Arabidopsis thaliana: one gene and its partners. The protein of the gene in region 3 purifies or fractionates together with the protein of the main gene of each other region. This does not show direct contact. Each region holds a gene or a part of one and is shown on either strand. Other genes may lie near its edges.

Evidence for each region. The genes of interacting proteins can lie anywhere in the genome.
Region 1: the proteins of AT3G50590 (region 3) and AT2G07360 fractionate together in Arabidopsis thaliana (co-fractionation; one large-scale study listed by BioGRID). This does not show direct contact.
Region 2: the proteins of AT3G50590 (region 3) and AT5G24710 fractionate together in Arabidopsis thaliana (co-fractionation; one large-scale study listed by BioGRID). This does not show direct contact.

Annotation. Positions count from the first base shown.
Region 1 is NC_003071.7:3,053,401-3,060,594, forward strand, and holds the start of AT2G07360 (SH3 domain-containing protein), read right to left. Parts: upstream 3,797-7,194; 5' UTR 3,700-3,796; coding exon 3,694-3,699; intron 3,611-3,693; coding exon 3,320-3,610; intron 3,092-3,319; coding exon 3,032-3,091; intron 2,937-3,031; coding exon 2,844-2,936; intron 2,606-2,843; coding exon 2,386-2,605; intron 2,051-2,385; coding exon 1,944-2,050; intron 1,706-1,943; coding exon 1,643-1,705; intron 1,170-1,642; coding exon 1,069-1,169; intron 907-1,068; coding exon 812-906; intron 695-811; coding exon 674-694; intron 536-673; coding exon 440-535; intron 315-439; coding exon 188-314; intron 114-187; coding exon 1-113.
Region 2 is NC_003076.8:8,464,378-8,471,871, forward strand, and holds the start of AT5G24710 (Transducin/WD40 repeat-like superfamily protein), read right to left. Parts: upstream 3,797-7,494; 5' UTR 3,544-3,796; coding exon 3,412-3,543; intron 3,327-3,411; coding exon 3,242-3,326; intron 3,161-3,241; coding exon 3,121-3,160; intron 3,031-3,120; coding exon 2,782-3,030; intron 2,467-2,781; coding exon 2,367-2,466; intron 2,255-2,366; coding exon 2,180-2,254; intron 1,602-2,179; coding exon 1,503-1,601; intron 1,106-1,502; coding exon 989-1,105; intron 908-988; coding exon 792-907; intron 705-791; coding exon 605-704; intron 1-604. Other genes in the region: AT5G24740 (vacuolar protein sorting-associated protein, putative (DUF1162)), read right to left, coding at 5,696-6,387, 6,520-6,589, 6,745-6,849, 6,933-7,043, 7,140-7,494.
Region 3 is NC_003074.8:18,768,029-18,775,211, reverse strand, and holds the start of AT3G50590 (Transducin/WD40 repeat-like superfamily protein), read right to left. Parts: upstream 4,194-7,183; 5' UTR 4,095-4,193; intron 3,926-4,094; 5' UTR 3,921-3,925; coding exon 3,785-3,920; intron 3,704-3,784; coding exon 3,594-3,703; intron 3,488-3,593; coding exon 3,322-3,487; intron 3,236-3,321; coding exon 3,135-3,235; intron 3,039-3,134; coding exon 2,966-3,038; intron 2,862-2,965; coding exon 2,726-2,861; intron 2,619-2,725; coding exon 2,458-2,618; intron 2,333-2,457; coding exon 2,208-2,332; intron 2,127-2,207; coding exon 2,027-2,126; intron 1,857-2,026; coding exon 1,766-1,856; intron 1,633-1,765; coding exon 1,581-1,632; intron 1,491-1,580; coding exon 1,389-1,490; intron 1,316-1,388; coding exon 1,169-1,315; intron 1,097-1,168; coding exon 934-1,096; intron 616-933; coding exon 385-615; intron 275-384; coding exon 120-274; intron 3-119; coding exon 1-2. Other genes in the region: AT3G50580 (uncharacterized protein), read left to right, coding at 5,693-6,445.

The DNA.
Region 1 (7,194 bases), on a different chromosome or scaffold from region 3:
GCTGTGGACGCTTGGTTTTATTAGATTTATCCTTGGAGGACAAGGATGGTGCTTCTGGCAGCTTCAGGATCTCTCTCGTCAAGCGATACCACCCAGCAGCACGCTCATCCATCCTAAATGATGCAGTACATTTTGGTTATTCAATACCTTACAAAGAATGAACTAAGAGAAATCAAAGTCATAGAACTCATGCCTCTCAGTGTTATCGTGTTTTCCCAGAATGCACAAAATCGCCTCATAGCATACCCTTTCGCTTGGATCTAGGAGTAGCTGATAGAGAATTGAGTTGAACTGAGACCTAATATCAGGCCTCTCTGTAGGAAGATTGAAAGGAAACTAGCAACATGTAAGTTCTCAAAAGATCTCTCCCATATAGCCAGATAAGAAGAAAAAAAAACAGAGCGAGAACGGGCAGCAGAAAGAGGTTGATAGTACTTACCATCTAATGCCCGAGCTCTAGATATTGAGTGGCACAACCTAGCCAGAGAAACTCTAGCAAGAACATCATTCATATGCAGGATATCTTGCAAAGCCCCTAATTTGGTGTACAGAAGAAAGGTATATCAGCTAACCCAGATCGTGTTCCAAACACTTCTTTATAATTAGCACAAATAAACACGAAATAACCAGCAAAAAGATTAACGTCAAGAGATAAAAGGCCTGGTGAGCATACCTGTTGGAGACGCAAGCTTTTCTGCAGCAAAAAGATCAAGAGACACATATCAAGTTTTGAATGAAAAACAGTTATGTCTCTACACACAGAAATAGAATGAAAAAAACAATATAAGGGGGAATAGAACAAATTATTTACCTAATGTCATTGCTACTGTATAGGGGTCTCTTGTGGCTAACTCAGATAGAATTTCCAGTGAATGCCTCACCGCAACAGGATCAGCAAAGAAAACACTGCAACATAAAAGTGTGAATACGAGAATAACTGTCCAATATACTGCATAATTAGGAATAGACCAAAAATTCAATTGCTCTTGTGAAACCTACATCACTATACTTAAATCCAATACTCTATACTTAAAAAGATAGTAGAAAGAACCAAAAAAAAAGTCTTACCCCTGAGCTGCACGGTGCAGAAAAAGTGGATTTCCTGGATCAAGAGGGAGTCTTCTCAGTGCACTCATAGCAGCGTATTGCAAGTTACTTCGCATAATCGACTAACAAAAACGAGATAAAACGCTCAAGTTAATAACAAAGTTTAGTGTTGACCTTCTGCAATCCAGAAGCTGTATACTCAAGTGAGGAAGAATTCTATTCGTCTGCCTACATATCTAGAAGCTAAGTTATCAAAGTTGTTCCTTTGGCTTATTGATAATCTGATATACGAATAGAATTGTAATGTTTTAAAAAAATGGTTTTATTAATTCAAATAACATTTAACTCGGGCCTTAAAAATCTGATAGCTAATAGCCAGAGTCTCCAGATGTGCAAACTCATATCATTATAGAGCAACTATGATACACTGCCTAATGCATGCAGTCATCAACAAGAATTTTGAGAAATTTCTACCCTACAGCAGGCAAAGAACATGCAGAGCATTGTAAAAAAGAAAATTATAAAGTGCAGGAACATGACTAGTATATAAGCCTTAAGTCTTTTCCTGGAGGAACCTAAGAGTTTAGAAAGATACCTCTTTATCACCCCCTTTTGTCCCAAATACACCTTTCTTTCGTTTATGCGGAACATCACCAACCTGAAAGCGACAAGAAAGATAAATCAGGGCCTCTGCATGTCACTGGGAAAACCCCCGTAAATTAAACCACACTCATATGAAAAGCAATAAGAATAAAATAGTATAATTGTATATAAATAAGAAAAGGTGGGACTACGGTTAAATCACGCAGAGTGCAGACAATGAACTACGCCAGGGTTTATTAAAAATAAACAAAGCATCTTGTTAAAAATCATAGAGCATTGGCAGTCAGACAAACCTTTTCAAGAATGCCAAATACAATCTCATACAATTTTGACAAAAGCTCAGAATTGCCTGATGGTGAATATGTCAGAGCTTTCAAAGCTTGCAGTCGTCGAGCATGAACTGAAGAAAAACATATGATAAGGTTAGAAATTCATCTCCAGTCACATTACAGATGGAAAGTTGGAAATCTATCTTAGATGTTGGTTCTCACTTCCATAACCCCCAAATTATTTAAATCCATACCAAAACTGACACCACATCTAAACATAACTACCTTTTGACGTCACTCCTCTCAGCATTTGGGTCTATCAAAAGAAAATTATAAAGGTACTGGGATATTTCTTAAAAAACATTAACAACTAATACCATTATAAAGATAAATAAGATTAAGACAGTCCAAGGCAGAAATGTATAAAATAAAACACTAAAGCCTGAAAAATGCGAGTGAAACTCACATTCAAATTCAGAATTTGTAGCTTCGTTTGTAAGTTGATTCACTATCCGAGGAACAACATCAGCTCTTGTGACTCCTCCACCAGCATCAATATCTGCTAGAGCATCCCAGTTAGGAGTGGGGATACCACCCCCTGGAGTCATGCCCGTATCGGACAAAATTCTAGCTAGGTAATAATAAACATATCGTAGCACATTCCTGTCTTCACATTGCTGATTAAGCTGTATCAATCACAAGAGAAAAAGAATGCTAAAAACCTGATGCCTCTCTTTGACGGATATTGTTTTTGAAAATGCGAATTTGTGAAGATCCATGATAATTTAATGGGTAGAGAAAAAAAAAACTCTAATAGAACAAATCATTTTAGATGCTCCATCATAAAGTTATAAAAAACGATACAAGAAACTGTACTTGATCTGACACTATCTGGTCGTCAAATGAGTAACCAGTGACACATACCATAAGAAGAGATGGGGCCAGAGAAGGATCAACTGAGTTGTACACAGCAAGCTTAGGGAACACGTGATTCACTAGTTGTTTCTGAGAACTTTTCTGCTCACTCGCGAAAAACAGAAGAAACAGTCAGATACTATTTTCAGCAGAAGAAGAGAGGTATAAAGGCAGAGCATAAGAACACAAACTTAAACCTGATCCAAAGTGGCAGCTAATTCATGAATGCTCCTTGCAAGTTGCGAATAGGAAACCGGCTGGGAAGTCATTTGCAACATAAAGTCGTGTTAACTACATCGAAGAACAAGACATAGGTATATTGACTCACTAAGACTCTATTTACAACAGAGACTCTATATACACTGATACCTCCTATTAACAATTCAAATCTACAACCACAATCTAGTTTTCTTAGCTCCAATGATCCAGGGTTTAGTTCAAACACAGATAAATGTGCCAAACAAAATTCAATTAGTAGATCGAACCTTCTTTTTCTGTCTCTGCCTTTGTGGCATGATATTGGCCTTAACAGGATTCAGTGCAGCTTTAGCAACAGATATAGTGTCGTTTTGGATCTGCATCAAAGTGGCTCTCTTCGATTTCTTCTCTCCTAGAGTCGTCTTCGTCGACATTGGATGGTGCAGATGGGAAGAAGACGATGCGGAAGCAGAAGTCGGCTGAGACGCCGTGGAAGATGCGGACGAAGAAGTAGATTGTGCAGGAACCGGGGTTGGATCCGCCGAGATCAGATCCATTAGCGTGGTACCAGACGATTCCTGTAAAGAGGAAAATGGAAGAAAGGTAAACTTGGATTCGATTCTTGGCCGGTGAAATACGGTGAGGATCCGACGATGCTTACCGCCATAGCTAGTGGCAGATCGGAGGAGGATTCTCGGAGAGGATTTTAGTGACGGGCGATTCAACAAGACAAACGCAACTTTACAATTTTACAAAATTATCAAAATTCTACACTTTTGTTAAATTATCACGAAGCACGTGAGATGCACGTGAATCTTTTATTTGTCATCCAAAGTTTTGTTTTGGTATTTTTTGGAAAAATGTCAAAAATAAAGGTAAATTTTCAAATTTGGGACGAAAAATTAAGATGTAAACCTCAACGATTAAAAAGAATTCATCATCTTTGCATTTTTTGATCAAGTTTTCTCTTGGAAAAAACTTTTGAAATTGGTTAGGGAAAGATTGATCATGTTCTGAAAATTGTGCTGAAATTAAGGTTTCTTGTTCTAGAGATATTCTTCTACTTAATTGAGTTCGTGTTGTGTAGGATGCGATGAGTTGACGACGGCAAGATACTCGCCTATTTGGTGACTGTGACAAAGGGATCGAAACCTAACTTTTATTAATTTGGGCATTTTGTTATAACCTATATAAATATGTATGTTTCTGAGAAACAAACAAATAAATGATTCAGCTTAGTCGGTAAAGGAATGGAAAAAATGTCAAAAAAATCCCCAACTTTCAAATTTGGGACGATTTAATCTTGAACTTCACAGAAGACAAATAAATCGTAAAGTTTGTGTTGACATTCTAAATAAATGACAAAGTTTTTGTTGACTTCCCATTTGAGTCATGTCGTTACATAGGTTAACAGAATTTTTTTACGACGTTCATGTTCCGTTTATCTGCTCTGTTAGGACAAAACAATGTCGTTTATTGTAGAGACAAACAACATCGTTTCTTCTGTTGAAACAAATTTAAACCCTAAATCCCCAAATCGATTTCATTATCTCAAATCCTATAGAGGCCGAATCGATTCGAATCCCATCTGGTGAGGAGACGAACAATGTTCCTCAGCCCAAATCAAATCGAAAGAAGAGAAAACGGAAGAAGGAAGTTGAAGTAGACGACGTCGTTTTGTTAACCTACTTAACGACATGACTGAAATGGCAAGTCAACAATAACTTTGTTATTAATTTCGAAAATCAACAAAAACTTTACGATTTATTTGTCTTTCGTGAAGTTCAAGATTAAATCGTCCCAAATTTGAAAGTTGGTGATTTTTTCGACGTTTTTCCCATAAAGGAATGTTGTTTTATCTTAAAGGTTGCGAGTTCAATTCCTGAACTTGTAATAAAAAATTAGATTCAAAACAACGTTGTTTCATAAGTTAACGGAATTTATAACAGAAGACTTAACTCTGTTAATTTTTCCGTCAATTGACTTAACATCGTGCCCAAATTGGCAAAATCGATAAAAGTTATCTAATTAATTCTAAAGTCAACAATAACTTTGGTATTTAATTGATATTTCGAAAATTCATGCTTTTTTGTCCCAAATTTGAAAGTTCGCGATTTTTTTGACATTTTTCCCCTTTTTATCCTTCCTATTATGATTGAATGGATTGTAGGACCGCGAAATCCTGATTTGCAATAAATCAAAAATCTTTATAAAACGATTAGGAAAGACGTTTTTCGAAAACGAGTGAAGACGAGATTTGATCTCTTTCCATAATTCAAACTAGCTCCCGCAGTGTGACGGTTTTATGAGCAGTGGATCGCAGAATACAATCACTATAAAACCGGTATCGCAGCACTCGATAGCGGAATCTGCGAACATGAAATAAACGATATACTCTTGACTTACTTTGAGAAGAAAGGGAGAAAGGGAGAGAGTTTCGTTTTAGCTTTTAGCAAAAAAAACGAGTGAGTACAATGAGAGGAAGATGTGTTCCTTTTATAGGAGAGAGGTGAGGAAATGCAATCCGCAAATCAAAGATCGTGGGATTCGGAGTGATGCGCAAGTCAAAGACGTGGGCATGATTAGCGGAGCCATTATCACAACCGTTTAAGGAATTAAGATTCGAATAAGGAATATTCGGATATGCTTTTAATATTCCGAATATACCTTAGTTATGGAAACGATATGGGCTTTCGTTTTGGGCCAAAAACTATGTTGCAAATATTACAAATAATGCAACAAAGCCTCATAAGTATTTTCCCCAAAAAGAACATTGTTTGTGGGCCAAAGGCCCCATTTCCCAAGAGCCCAAGGCCCAAGCCCGGCTCGGCACGGCACGACGGCGGCGGAGCGTGTGTGTGTGTTGTTTTGCATAAAGGACTTGCATCTCCTACACCATAGTGTCCCTTCCCAATAGCTAGTGAACCATGTTAAATGGGTAGCACCATATATGCTAGAGGAGAGATCTTAAAACTTCTAATATGGGACAATTGTCAATATTTGTTATTATAAGCTTTCAAGCTCACCACTTTGGACCTCAATTACTCATTCATAATAACTTCAATTTTTATATGTAACTACACTATCTTATAGTGCTCATTACAAGGAATTCAAAGACTCCATAATCCGGTCATTCCGGTGATGGCCATCACCGGAAAAATCACCGAAGAGTTAGCCGGAGCCACTTGTGTAAAATTGAGTTCCAACAATCCCCCACATGAATAAAATTGACTCTAAACATTTGAGACTTTTGACTGACTCGATAACCTAAACTGACTTAGACTTTACAGACTCAACTTTCAAGAGTATATGCAAAAAATAGATGTGTATGAGATAGTAGTATTTTTCAGCCTTAAACTATTCACTGTTAATATTTGTCGAATTTACTTGGCCAGGAGGTGAACATGATGTCTTTAACCACCCAGATTTTTATGTAAACCTAGACAACAGGTAAAACCCAACTACTTTTTCTCGTAAAAACAAGTTCTCTAGATTGTGTTCATTTTGGCTTTGAACAATCCTGGATTTCATGAGTGAACTTAGAGAATATAGCCTCTCATTCTCCTAGAAACGGCCACATTCCACACTCACTAGGTGATTTGTCACTAGCATTTGTTTTAAGAAGTCTCTTGTAAAACTCCACTTATATATCAAAGCTTTGGACTCAATCATTAAAAGCATTGCTTATCCTTTATATGTACAAGAAGCACTGTTTATCATCCTGGAAACTAGGCTGCGACTAGTAATCTTATAATTCTCCAAATATATTTCGTTTGATTTAGTTTTCCCTTTTGAACCTAGTTCTTGGGATCTCCAGTCATATAGGTGGGGTATCCATCAAAGTGACATCTTTAATTCATAGGCTTTAAACCCATTCCTCTTGATGATTGAATCACTTGATCTCGTGTCAAACCCTTGGTAAATAGATCCGCTAGGTTGTCGACCGACTTAATGTAATCGATCGTCATTACACCGCTAAAATCAAGTGTCTAATGGTTTTATTTCGTCTTCTAATATGACGAGACTTTCCATTATAGTGGGTATTCTGTGCTCGGGCAATAGTCGATTAACTTTCACAGTGTACACGTAAAGCTGGCACGGGTTTCCCCCACATTGGAATATCTTCCAAAAAGTTTTGAAGCCAATCAGCTTCTTCGGCAGC
Region 2 (7,494 bases), on a different chromosome or scaffold from region 3:
AAGCCATGAAAGCGAAAGAAGTACAGAAGCAATGCTATTATAATTATGCAATAAAGAAACTAGCAATCTTTGAAAATCATCAACTGGCGGTTTCAAGTAGAAAATGAACCCCGAATATTATCTGCAAATTCTGAAAAAGGAATAACTTTCAACTTTCGGGTGCAGCATGTGCTTTCCCTATCACCATCTGACATAAAGATTACGTATCTTCTCCATTGCAATTTTCTTTTAGATAAATTTAGTGTTCAAACAGCTATCAATTTAAAGTCTGCTATATACAAAACTTTTCTGCAAGAAGTAATACAAACAGTTGTATTCTATTCTTATTCTTATTCCTAGTCTACTTGAGTCAGAATACCTTTGCATTGCCAAGTGCAATATTATACAGCTACACAACTTCATCATTTGAACCATAATAGATGCATTTTACGAGATAAGAAGAGAAACTAATGTTTTGTGGGACACATAGAATGGAGCCTCAGAGAGCAATGCTCATGCTCAGGCTTGAGCATGAGCTATTGATATAGTATACAACTAGCAGGCAGAAAGAAATGATATGATACGTGGTAGATTTCGAGGATTTCATCAACAATGAGCTAATTACCCTAAGTTTTCTGTGGGTTGCAAGTACTTGAGGCGGAACCAAGGAAGAAAGTTCACATAACGGCCTTGTCAGGGCCGAATAAGTTGGATGCTCAATAGACCTGCAAAAATTCAAACAATTAGACCACTCATCTAATATACATAAATATATTCTACCATATACAATACCAAATCTTAAACAAAGATACCATATGTGTGAATCTTTAACGCAAGTCAAAATATCAAGGTTTGGCGCTCGAGGGTGACACCAAGATGCAACACTGTGGCAAGCTAGTTTCGGGACAGGTTTAATTCTACGTAGCTCCTGTAGAATAAAAGTAGATATGCATGTTAATAAATGAGATCGGGAAAATATGAAAAATCCATACATGAGATACACCATTACCTTAAATGTCATTGTATCCCATATGGCCAATGTCTTGTCAGCCCCAATTGTAATCAATTGTGGAGCACTCCCACTTACCCTTGACAGCTCAACAGCCACCACCCCACCATCATGTGCCTAATACAATCAGAACAAAAACATTAGAAGAAGCCAAGAAGGGATTAGGAAAAAAAAAAAAAAAAAGTATAACAGAGAAGTGGAAATTATCCACTCAATTAAGCAAACATGACCATGTCTATTACACCAAAAAAAAAAAAAAAGCACGAGCATGTCATAGTCCCCTAATCATTACTCAGCCTTTTATAAAAAGAATGAAAGAATATCTAAATGCAAGTATCCAACATTCAGAAACAGACACAGAAATCAATTCAGAAGGTTCACTGGAACTAAGAACAATGGTGCCTTAGCCTCAGCTGTAACCAAATCTGGCAAATCTTTCCAGGCCTAAGAATTGAACGGTCATGGTAATATCCTCTCTTGAACTTTGAATGAAAGAGTGGGCATAATTGAGTACCTTTAAGCTAAGCTTGGGTACAAGTTCCCTTGAGTCAGCGCCATGATCGGCACTCCACAGTACAAGTAAGCCATCACTGCCACCTGAAACAAGGAGTGCCTGCAATTGCATTTAGATAGAGGATGGCTAGTATCATGTATTGCACATAAATAACAGAGAGAAAATACTTGATAAGCATTCATTAAAAAACGTCAAGTTATATAAAAGGGAAGAAAGCCCAGTACTATCAGAAATTCGCTATTAACATAACCTAAACAAGCAATTGGGAAAAGAGATGCCAATGTTTAAAATTCCCGCCGCTCCTAATGCCTAGGCTATGCATGAAATTTAACCCGAGTACAGATGATCTAAGAAACTAAGGCTAGATATTTGGATTGTAAAACAGGTATCCGTATAGTAAGGCCTGCTGCGGTCTGGACTCCCACTTAGTAGAATGTGAGATTTTTACGTCGCTAAGAAGAAAGAGATATATGTAGGAAACTTCCAAGACGATATGCTCAAGACCTCGTTTTCATATAATATATACAGTCGATCTTAGTAGGTGATCTTGAGTATGTTTTTCTAAGTTACATGACACTTTCATCTATCAGATGGTATTAACTATTAACATATTAAGTAAATAACTCGAAATAAATTCAGAGCAATAAAGAGGGCATATATAGGGAATATGTAGTTACTTCGCCAGATGATGCCATGAAATTCATCAAGCAATAAATGGATCCTTTATGGCCACCTGTATATCGACGTGCAAGCTGCAAGGAAGTAAACATTCAAGGAAATTAACACAGATCAGTATCAAAATCCCTCACTCTAAACCCAGCAGAGAAACCAAAAAAAAAAAATATAATTTTGAAACAAACAAACCTTCCATGTTATCATTGATAAAACCCGAATGACACCATCAGTTGAACCAAATGCAACTAAAGGGCCATCACCACCAGATGATCTCGAAAGAAACTCCATGCTGCAAAGAAAGGAAGAATTCTAGCAACATTAAGGAGGAGTAGAAATTAAAAATGTAGAAAGGGAGTTTGGCCATTGACTGAACATTAAACATCAAGGAAGCCTGGTATCCATTACACTTAGAACACACATATCCATTACACTTATGCCTAGTCTACATTTGACTCAAATATTTCCAGCGTAGTAACTAACGGAGGTCTTTCCAGGATTCAAGTGATTTAAAGATAGGAAGCCTAAAGTAATGGAGCATCTTCCCCGGGGTCCAGGTGTCAAGCAAACCCATATCCTAAAATTAGAGAAAAAGCAATGAACTTACCAGAGAAGTGACTTGTTATCAAGCTCTTGCTTTGGCACATCACGACCACGCATTGTCACCAAATCCAAGAAAATAGCTTTATTCTCACAACAAATGACCAGAAAATGACGGCCTTTAGTCGATGGAGCAGGGGAAGTGAAAGCAGATGTCAGATGATTGACAGCTGATGGAGATTCAGCAGCTGCGGAGCGGTTGCGCCACAGTTGCCAATAACGCACATCATCGTCATAAAACTTCACCTGCTTAACGCTAGTAGGTGCAAACATTGAGCAGATAAGTCATTTTTCTCATTATCGAAAGGAGCAACTGAATTAGCAGCGAGAAAGATCTATCTACTACCTTCCTCCTCGAATGGCTTCAGTAGGCTTAGCTTTATAGTCTGAGGAAAATACGAATGTCAGTAAGAACATAAAGCATCAGAAACTCATACTCATTTCACCAGAATAGAACAATGGCTCACCGGATTCTCCTTCGGCGAGCTTCTCTAACTTGGCACCAACTAAACGGCGCTCGTCAACTCCGCCGGCTTTCAATTCATAAATTACCTAACACAATAGACATAAACGTTGACAGATCCACGATTCGAAATCAGAACCGGAACCAAAATCAAATCAGAATCTCGATACAGACCTGACGATGCTCCCAATTCCAGACGGAGACGTGATCTGAATCATCAGCCGTAACAAGCCATGGATGCGTAGGATGTACCTGTATCTTCACAATCTTACCATTGGTCTGCCGAAATGCTCTCGCCCGCAACATTTCGATCTCTCTCTCTCTCTCTCACAGTTCTTCAAGATCAATTAGACAACTCAAAAATCTGAGCACAACTGCATCCGCATAGACGATTCGACTCACGAGAAACTCTCCAGAGCTACACACTAAAAATTTCCAGAAAAAGCAAGCAGGGCTATGGTCAGATCCAGATCAATTAGATCCACCGCGGTTATCAAATGAAATGCCCGGATCCACCACCACTAACTACAATCGCCGAACAAAAACTCCGGTAGTGTCTTCAGACGCGAAACGCGTAAAGCGCGAATTTGCGAAGGCTAGTCTGATTAACCCAAAAAAAAAGGCCCAATAACAATTGTTTTAGCCCTTTCCTTTGTCGCAAAATATATTCCATTTACGGAAATTAATTGTGGATCCGTTGGATCACTGAACTTTTTTTTTTCTTGTTCATAAGTTTCTTTTTTATTCAAATTATGGGTTTACAAACATCACTAAAGCCCAGTCATCAAAGTATTTCACAAATCCATAAAGGGTACAACTAAACACCTTGTAGTAAAGAGTACAGCGCTAATAAAACAAGTCAAAGCAACATACGACACGTGGATGTGACTTTTCTCTTACGCCGATGATTGTTTCATCGTTATCTCCCAGCACCACCATCAAATCCGATAACCCACCATTTCCTCTACGACAATCTCATCACGCTTGTAAATCTGACTCTCTGCTCCACAATATCCAGAGTTTATATTTGATCTAAATTTCTCCAGAACAGCAACGATCTATGACAAAAGAGAAATAAAAAACCATGATTTCTCTTGATGATTAAATCTTACCAGATATGCCGAATTGAGATTCTAAATCAAAGGATTGAGAGAATCGATTTAGGTTGAAACAAACTCTAATAGTTGATTAAAACCCAAAAGGTAAAGATTAGAAATGAAACAAAGATTGACTTTCATCTAAATAAGGATGCAAAAAAGCTTGAGAAAAGAGGATGATAAGGAAAACCCAAAAAAAAATTGGTACTAAGATCACAATGATTATTGAAAAGCAGAAAGGTAAAACCGGTATCAAAGAACTGGAAACTAAAGCCGGATTCCACTAAAGAGAAAAGTAGAAACCAGACGGCGAGATAAGACGGCAAAGCCGGACCACGTCCGGATACAAAAGCCAGCCACCACCACTAAAGAAGCCAATTGATGCTGGAAACGAACCAACCATCGTCGTTAAAGAAGCCGAACGATGTTGGACGGAGTCTTGCCATGAATCGCTTTTTCTTTCTCTGAAAAATTCAAGTGAGAGAAGAGAGAGAAAATCGAGAAGCCTCCGATCACTAAACTTTTAAAGAGAATTCCAAATGAATTATCTCAAACAAAATGACTATAGTATTTGGTGTAATAAGGGTTTACTATGTTTACAACTAAATCTAGAATTCGATAAAAAGATTTGCAATCAAAATTAAAGTCTTATTTAATCTTCAATTTAATTTAATTTTTTCTTTACAGGTTTCATTGAAGTTTACTCAATACACTTCGATTTTTTGTTTTTCCCGTCTAAACTTGTTTTCCTCATACACTTATAGAAGATCTTAACTTAATAAAGAACAATAAAATCAACGCCGCTTGTCTTCTTCAATGCGAGTGTAACCACATCGGACTTCCACGAGCTAAATATGATCTGCATCGACCTTCTCTCATTACGCTTGTGGCTATATCTCGTGCGATGAAACCTTAAATACGATCTTATCAAAATTCGGGAGAAACCAATGAATCCTATCAAGATAAGATAAATACGTGGCCAATCTAATGGGTCACTAATGGCTTCCATAGGAGCACCATAGTCGGACCAAATCTCAATATTATAGAAGTGTAGATCACATAGACTGTGTAGTACCCATAATATCCCTCTCAACTCCGCAGCAATACGATTTGATGTTGGTAAAAACATTTCTCCCGCATGAAAAACAGCATCACCATGATGATGCCACATATATGAGCATCATGATGATGCCTGACAATCCATGTACAATACACTTCGATTTATTACGCTTTTTTTTTAAAAAAAATTTTATAGCCAAAACATGTCAGACCATATATTCTAAAACTAGTTTCATAAAGCCACTTTTGTACACAAAGAAAATTAAAGAATTACTGTATTCTTATGTACGCAAGTCTCCGGTTTAAGTGATGTTACTTCGACTTAAAACAAATCGACTGTGCCAGCTCCGGCTTTTCCCAGTTTCAATAGTCGATAACAACACACTCAACAAGTCCTCTGCTTCTTCCTCCGATGGAAACTCTAAGTTAGTCTGAAGAAGCGGCTGTGCTGAAGGATTGTTCCATCGTTTTTTGGTCGGGCTGCTCTTCTTTTGCTGGTCCTGTCTCCAGTTCCATACACCATCTGAATTGCTTCCTATGATGCGGACTACTCCACCGCTGCAATCTGTATGTATTACACTCTCCAAACCGATTTCTCTTTCGATATTCCATACCAAATCTATTGGAACTCCGAGAAATCCCTGTTTTCTGAAATCTACCAAGCTCAGGCTGCTTAGAACCAATACCAGTCTCCCTGTGATTACAACGAAAGCTCCTTCTTGTTTCAGGGCTTTGCACTTCACCAGCTTCTCGCCCTTGAACTTCAGGGAATCTCCAACCTCCATAAGTACTGCTGTCCCGACCGCTTCTTCCCATGAGTAAGGCCTGAGAGGTTGTTCTCTACTCAGAGGCCTCGGAAGACGAAGCCTATGCCTTTGGGATCTTATGTTATGAATCCTGCTTCGGTTTCTTATACTCTGTGCGGTTTTTCCAGTTACCTCAAGGATACTAGCGGTTGGTCTGGCCACAAGTCCAGTAATCCCCATGGCCACTCCTGAACCATATATAGGCACCCAGTTAACATGCATAAAATTAGAAAGCCAGAAACAAAAGGACAGCGTGTACACGAACATCAAATGTCTTGAATGTCTATAGATGACTTGAGCGGTGGTTCTCGCTTAAATACCTGAGATAACGCCTGGAAGACCATGTTTCTCAGCTCCTCTTATTGGTGATTGAAGGAGACCAGTGAGTCCCTGTGATGAACATCGTGTCAGCTGGCATGCTTAAATTCTTTATGCAAGTTCAGAAGAATTTGACAGAAGTCACTGACTTCAAGTAACTTTCAAGACTAAGTGAACATCAAATCAGTATATAAGACATACTTCCAAAGAAAGTGCAAATAACATACCTCAAACACTTCACCTATAACTCCTTTGCTACGCGATCCTTCACCCAATTGCTGCTTCTCCATCCTTGCAACATCATGGTCATTGAATGTAAATGCAACAATACCCTGCAACGAATTGGTAATTCTGTAAATATTTCTTGAAGGAGGCGTCTACACCATAGATTTTTAAGCAAACAGATGCATCGTACCTTGTGTGCAGCTTTACTAAATTGAGTGGCAGCATCACTTAAAGCATAAATAGTGCTACTGAAGAGACTTGTGGTTCCGTGAGCCATTCCTTGAATAATTCCTGCTGGGCTCTGTTCAAGTAATCTAGGTTAGCATATAAGTTAAAAGTGACTAAACCAGACATTACATGAAAATGTTAAGCAACAAAAAGAGATTTTAATCATAACCTTTGAGATACTCCTGCTGGGAGCTGACAGGAAATCTTTAATTCCAAATGCAACATTCCTCGCAAACCCCATGGGATTTCCAATAACACCAGCAGAGCCGAAAACCTGTGTTATAGTACATTGCAGAAATACGTCCAGCAGGTATATAGGGAATAGTATGAGTGCTCTAGGAAATAAAAACACTAAGTGAAAAAGTGACATTTTACCAGTTCTTACCTTGTAAATCTCATGAAGAATTTGGCGGGTATAGTGCCCAACAAGGATCTCCTGAAATGATTCCCAACTAGTAATTTGATGAGCAATTGTCAATTGTTTGAGATGTATTCGAGCACCCTCGACATCGGCAAGAGCCATA
Region 3 (7,183 bases):
GACTGCATTTACTGAGCTGGTCATAGAATCAAATACTAGATATCAAAAGTTTATTTGGTTGGAAAATTTCCCACCAAACTACTAATAAACAGTACGAAGTTATAATAGATGTTGCATACCTGAAGAGCTATTTCATGTTTCTTCAACTTGATTGACTTTCGTCCCTCACCTTGTGTTGAAATATAATGACCATCTGAAGCTGAGAGACGGTAGCCTTGAAACAACTTTGCCAGCCCAATTTGGGTTCCATTACAAGCAAACATCAGAGTGGACTCTGTAATTTAAAGAGGCATCAGTTAGCGATGGCATGCTCCAATTGATAAGTAACTTCAAGAATGAGATTATCTGTAACTTCAAGAATGAGATTATCTGATGCAACATCACCTATCGGTGTGGAAAAAACACGATCGACTTCTGTCTCAAACATGAATTGTTGTGGACCCTGAATTCCAGAAGGATCCGCCTCTTTCTTTTGGTTTTCTTCAGATAACAAATTCTTCTCATTCTCTTCCATTGTGGTAAGTTTTGGGAGGATATACATAGACAGTCCTGTCTTATCCTCGTCAAGAATTGCAAATTGATCGTCATTTGGGCCGATAAAGGCAGCATCACAACCTGCATACCAAAAAAGTATAGCTTTGAGGTTACTCTTCTCTTGTTCGTTTACGCCTTTGGAAACATAGGAAAACAAAAAGGATGAACGGCTTAAATAATTCTAAGCTTGCATCTCTATCAAGTAAACAGATCATTCGTTGAAACGTTCAGCTTCCTTGATTGTTAGTAACTACTGTTTTATAGCATACATTGTACCCCTGGTATATTTAAATGACTGGATGCAGTATGATACCGTTTAATGTTTTCAAAACTAAAAGTTATGAGGCAGGATAGGAAGTTCTCTAAAGAATAGCAAGGGAATCCAATGATTAGACAAACCTTTAGCAGTGCTTCCTTTGCTATTAGGCAGCTGGGAACCTGTATTTTCCCAGTAAAGCACAACTTCATTTGTAGCACCACTGAACTCAAAGACAACCAGAAAGAGGTGCCTTTTACGACTGTAAACAATGTGTTTCGAATGATATTCAACATTTCCGGGGATCTGAAACAGAAAAGTTCTGTAAGTAAAAGGAAACCAAAAACTAAAACGAAATCACATGATATCAGATTATACCGATGTGTACAGCTTCTTGTAGATGTTGTCTGTTCCAGAACAGAGATTGTGAGCCATGAGGTTAAGGCCCTCGATATAAAAGGACCTCACAGGATAATGAAGAACTCTATTTGGCTTATTGAAGAAATTCAGCTCCAAATGAAATGGCTGTCAGATAATCCAATCAGTCAGGCATAAATCAGATACTACAGAAAAGAAACACTAAACAACAGTTACATGCCTGGCAAACAGGAATGTCTTTAAGTTGATCCTTTGTATCCACGACCGTAATAAGGGGTAACCTTGATATTGGAGCAGTTTTGGCATGACCCTCCATAAAATGCTGTACGGATTAATTCATCGACTAAGCTCAAAATAGTTCCAAATAATAAAACAAACATAATGTCTAAGCAAGAAGGTAAAGCAGTCATACACTATACAAGAACGCCTTCCGTGCGATATCTGAAATTGTTAGCTGACTCTGGCTGTAGAAAAGTAACAGAGTGAACTATGAAGCAGATGAAATTTGAGTCATTTGGTACGGAATTCACAGCACATGCTAGTAACTTTTTTTTGCGCAATTTTCCAACAGTGATTGCATGAGAAATATCCACCTACCCCTTGTGCTCCTGTAGCAGAGCTTGAAGTTGATGCTCGGCTAAAATTCCAGAGGAACCCATAGACGAAAGCTTTTCCTTTAGAACAGAAGCTGTTAATCATCTCACATGTTAGAAAGCCGGATATTGATACGAACGACTCTGGTCGAACCCACAACCCATACTATTAACAGAGGATTGGTTACTCTCAAGAGACACATCCATACAGCTTAAGAAGAGTATCAATTGTTATGTTTGAATAACATTAGTGTTCAAGATTCACCTGAAGATCCCCTAGCACTTTGCAAAACTGCAAAGAGCTGCTTCCTTCCTTCTCTAGTCTGAGCTGCTCGATTTTGAGTGTTCTCATTACCCACCATGTTCTGTATAAGAAACCCAGTATGTCAAAGACAGAAGCCACACTTCTACCTAAGGAAGGAGTGCCAGTAGGAAGTATTCTTAACTGCAAAAATCAAAGCTGCTAAGTTCAGCTTTGGGTGAACTTCTAAAGTTTTGATTCGTGGTAAAGGGTAAACAGCTTCGCCACCCTGTTGGGAGAGAATTTTAGGAATGTCTATTGATTCCATAGCTGCAAAGAAAAAAAAAAAAGGATAGTGCTACAATGCGTAATCAAAGTCTCCAAACCAAACCATGGGAATTATTCCTAAGTCGGGGAGGAAAATATATTTTCTCTATAAGAGATATCAGGCTTACCAGCAGGCTCAAAGAAGTTTGTTTGTGTCGAAGGCCTATTGGGATTAATTATTACTCGTGTCTTCCACACTTGAAGAGATCCATCCTTGGACACAGTGACAAGTACACGCAACATAGGAAGCCAAGAAATTGAAGTGATGGGTTGCGAACCCACTTGCGTTCTGCAGTTCCAAAATATAACAAACAAGAATGAATTGCTGCGAGAAAAAAAAGGGATAGCAATTTCATGCCAGCTGACAGAAATCTAAAAGCAACGAAAATGACTTACATTCCAATCATATTAGGTCTTTCAGTTGAAACATCCCACGCTAAAAGTGTACCCCTCCTATCTCCAACAAAAATCCATTCTAGTGTTGGGTGAAAAGCAAACGAACTTGCGCCGATAAGTTTAATAGTATTATCAACTGCGAGGATAACAAAGAACTGCTTTAACTGGTGGCTATTGCTCAGGATACCCCAAGTGAGAAGAATAAAAACAATGAGACTTGTGAGATCCTCCTAAACTCACGCTGTAGTGTATAATGAACAGCATAAGTATGAATGTTATAAGCTCGTATCAACCCCTCTGCATATGCTACATACTGAAAAGACAAAACATTGAACAAGAAGTTACGCGTGTGTACAACAAAATCAGATTCCACACACTAACATGAAAATGTGTGAATGTTTTATCATACCAGGACAGGTAGTCGAGGATGGCAAGCAATGTTCACAATTGGTTTCTTCAAATCTGTCTTAATTTTGGTTGGAGCTCTTCCACCTTCAACAGTTCCAACAACTACAGAAAAGAACAAATACAGTCAATCGGTAAAATAAACCAGCACACCTACTCATATAGGAGAACTCATGAACTGATAACCCAACCTGTGACACTCATTCGTTTTGGGAATCCAAAGAACACAACAGGTTGAAGTGGCGTCACAGCAAGATGAACTTCAGTATCTGAGGAAATGTGCTCACTCCTCTTCTCCGGTGAGTGCAATACACAAGTCTGCTCCGTTTCAAAATCACAAGACCTAATTGTACAATCCTAAACAATTCCAAACACAAATCATTCTAAAACACTGAACACCAAGCTAAAACTACTATTCCAAATTGAAAACAAAATCTCTACAATAACATTAGAGGAAACTGACCTCAAGAATGGCAACAACAGCATTGCTGCTAGTAGGACTATACAACATTCTAACAGCTGGAGATCCAATATCAATAGACGCGATCTTACATCCCGTTAATGCATCAAATTCTGCAAAAACCAATAAGTTTCAATATCAAACAGTCACAAACTATGAAACCAATCGATAAGAATTTGCGGAGAGTATTATACCCATGATGTGAGAGCCAACGGCAACAGCGATAACGGCTTGAGAAGGATGAAACGCCGCCGTATGAGGTTGTAGTGGCTTGCTCACACCGCGACCTACATGACGCAGATCCAGATGCTGCACCGTTGCCCACTCCATAACTTCTGAAAGACAAAATACGGCTGATCATTGTCACAATTTCGATTCAGATCGATCAAGAGAACGAGAGAAGCTGATAATAAGATTACTGATCTGATCTTCGAAAGAAAATAAAATTTCAAAAAAAAATGGAAAATTCGTTGATAGCTTTGTAGTGTTCATTTTTGGTTTTACCTGCTCTTAGATCCGTGTGAGATTACTAGTTCATCAATTTGCTTCAAATCCAATGCAGAGAATACGAAGGTACACGAAGGTTTTTGGGAAACAGAGTGAGATCGAACGGGAAGATCAGAAAAATCAATAGAGGAAGAAGAAGAACATCGAACCAAAAATGTCAAATATTTGGGTCGGGTTGTCCGGATCTCTCTTCTCCGGGTCGGATCTTTCGGGTGTTACTTTATGCTCCATTGCCTCACTGTCTAATTCTGAAACTACGCCGTTATTATGGGCCTAAATGGGTTTAATAGGTTGTCGTTTAATGGGCCTAAATGGGCTTTAATAGGTCTTTTCAAAGATCTACACAAATCTGCATCTAATAATTTCTTTTTGTTAATCTGCATTTAATATTTTTTATTTTTTTAAGTCTTATAATTGCAATATACATATTTTCGTTATGTTTTTTTTTTCTCGTTAAGAATATTCATTTTCGAGTTTCCAAGAAATAATATTTACAACAGTTTAAGTTTTAAGAGATAATAGTTGCGAGATATGGAATTTTATCATATTTATTCGTTTGTTAAAAAGATCTTTATTATATTTTTAACCAACAAAAAACAGAAGTTAAATCCTTCTATATATAAAAAACCGAATTAGTCTCAAAAACAACAATGGATCATCACCACGACTGCAACACTATCTAACTACGATAAGTGGATGGACGCGAAGTTTCAAGTCACCAAAGTTTTGTTTTCAAACATCGTGAGCAGAATACTTGTGCAGATGCTCTACGCCAAAAATTCAATTCGATGTAACATCCCGTGCAGTGGCGGAGCTAGAAAATTTTGTTATAAGGATCAGAATTTTAATAAAAATAGTATATTATATAAAATTTATTATTATTTTGTTTAGAAATAATCTACACCTGAGAAAAATATCTGAAAATCAACTAAATTAATAATTACAACTTTTTGTTATGGTCCACAAAGACTAAGAAAAGCAAAAACAAATTGTGTTTTTTTTATATATATAATTATAACATTAGATCATTAGTTGAACTTAAGTTTAAATAAGTCAAGGATTTTTAATTTTATTACATTACAATTTGGTTTAAAATTCTAATGAACCAAACTTATTTGGCTTTTTTGTCGTTTTAGTTGAATTAGTTTGATATGGGGATCAAAAACTATAATGCATTGGGGTCATTATAATTACTCTTAATAAAATATAGTAGAAATTTTAAAATTCATAGGGGTCAATTGACCCCCTAATTACACACTGCCTACGCCCATGACCCCGTGGTGTTTATACATTTTTGTCCATACTTTTTAATCCCATTTGTAAACAAGGATATGTTTTGAGTTTTGAAAGAAAGTTGTTAGATAAAAAAAATAAAAAAATATATTCTTTTCGAGTTTCCAAGAGATAATATTTACAACAGTTTAAATTTTAAAAAATAATAGTTACGAGATATGGATTTTTTCATATTTTTTTGGTTGTTAAAAAGATCTTTGATATATTTGTAACCAACCAAAAAAAAGAAGTTAAATCCTTCTATATATAAAGAACGAGTTAGTCCATTTCTTTGTATACACTCACAAATCTTCCCTTTAAGAATGAAAACCTCCATCGTGCTTGTAGCGGCAGCTTTTCTTTGTCTTGTGGCTTTTCCGACCACAACCGTCGGAAAATACTGGCCAAAAATCGAAGGATGGCCAAACCCGTCTGAAATCACTAGAAACGAACTGATGCTTTTGAACACTGGCCATAGTTTCGGCTATGGAGATTCCAAAGTCTGGAAATGTACTTATAGCAACGGATCTGCTCCTGCCATTTCTATTTCTCCATCAACGCCGATTCCGTCAACTCCATCAACACCGTCTCCTCCTCCTCCAGCTCCTAAAAAGTCTCCCCCACCGCCAACGCCAAAGAAGTCTCCATCTCCGCCTTCATTAACACCGTTTGTTCCCCATCCAACGCCCAAGAAGTCTCCATCTCCGCCTCCAACACCGTCTCTTCCACCTCCAGCGCCCAAGAAGTCTCCTTCAACACCGTCTCTTCCACCTCCAACACCCAAGAAGTCTCCACCTCCGCCACCAAGTCATCACTCATCATCTCCATCAAATCCACCTCATCATCAACAGAATCCATGGGAACACATCGAGAGATGTATGATAAACATGGGACCTGTTGGGATGTGTCGGATGCAGATGGAAGTCAGTTTCTACACGAGGTTGTTTCAAGTTAGTGACTATTGTTGCAACCTTGTTGTCAACATGAAAAGTGAATGTGACGACGTCGCTTGGGGATTCTTCAACGACCCTTTCTTTGTTCCTCTTGTTCGTTACACTTGCCATGTCACCTGCTAGTTTCTCTTCTTCTTTGTTTGTTCTTGATTAATTAGGGTTTTTTTCTTTGATTATTTGTTTTTCGTTTTGGTTCGTTTAGTCATGCGATATTTGTTGCCGTTCATATCTGATGAACGGATCTTTTGTTAAGGTTTAATCAATGAATAATTATCTCTTCATTCTCTTTGTTGCTTGTTTTATGTTCGCAAATGAATAAAGAAAATATCAAATACCAAAAGTTAAATCGCATTATTTGCAAAAGATATTGTGTTTGGACTTGAAAAGATCGTTAGGGAAGTATATATCATGTCTATTTCGATGCAATCATTCTTTTTGTTACATCGTTTTTTAATTTATAATATTTGAAAATTCTACATTCAGAAATGTGTGATCTCTAATTAACAAGAAGAAACATATAACGATTTGAATGTTTCTTTTCCTTTTTCTTCGTGATTTTTTAGTTAGTTACTATATAATTTATTTGAAATTTTTCTTATTACATTGCAAAAATCACCTCTTTTGTTTCCTTTTTAATTTTTTTGAGCTATGAAATGTAACAGTAAATGGGATGAAGAATTATATCCCATCTAATTAACATTCAATTTATGTGACCTCGTATAAAGAATTAGATTTTTGGACTTGAAAAGATAGTTAGGAAAGCAAACTGTTGTATCATATGATTCATATCGATCTTGATGCAATCTTTAATTTCTTTCTGTTATTTCGGTTTACAAATTATAATTTGAATTAACCTTTAAA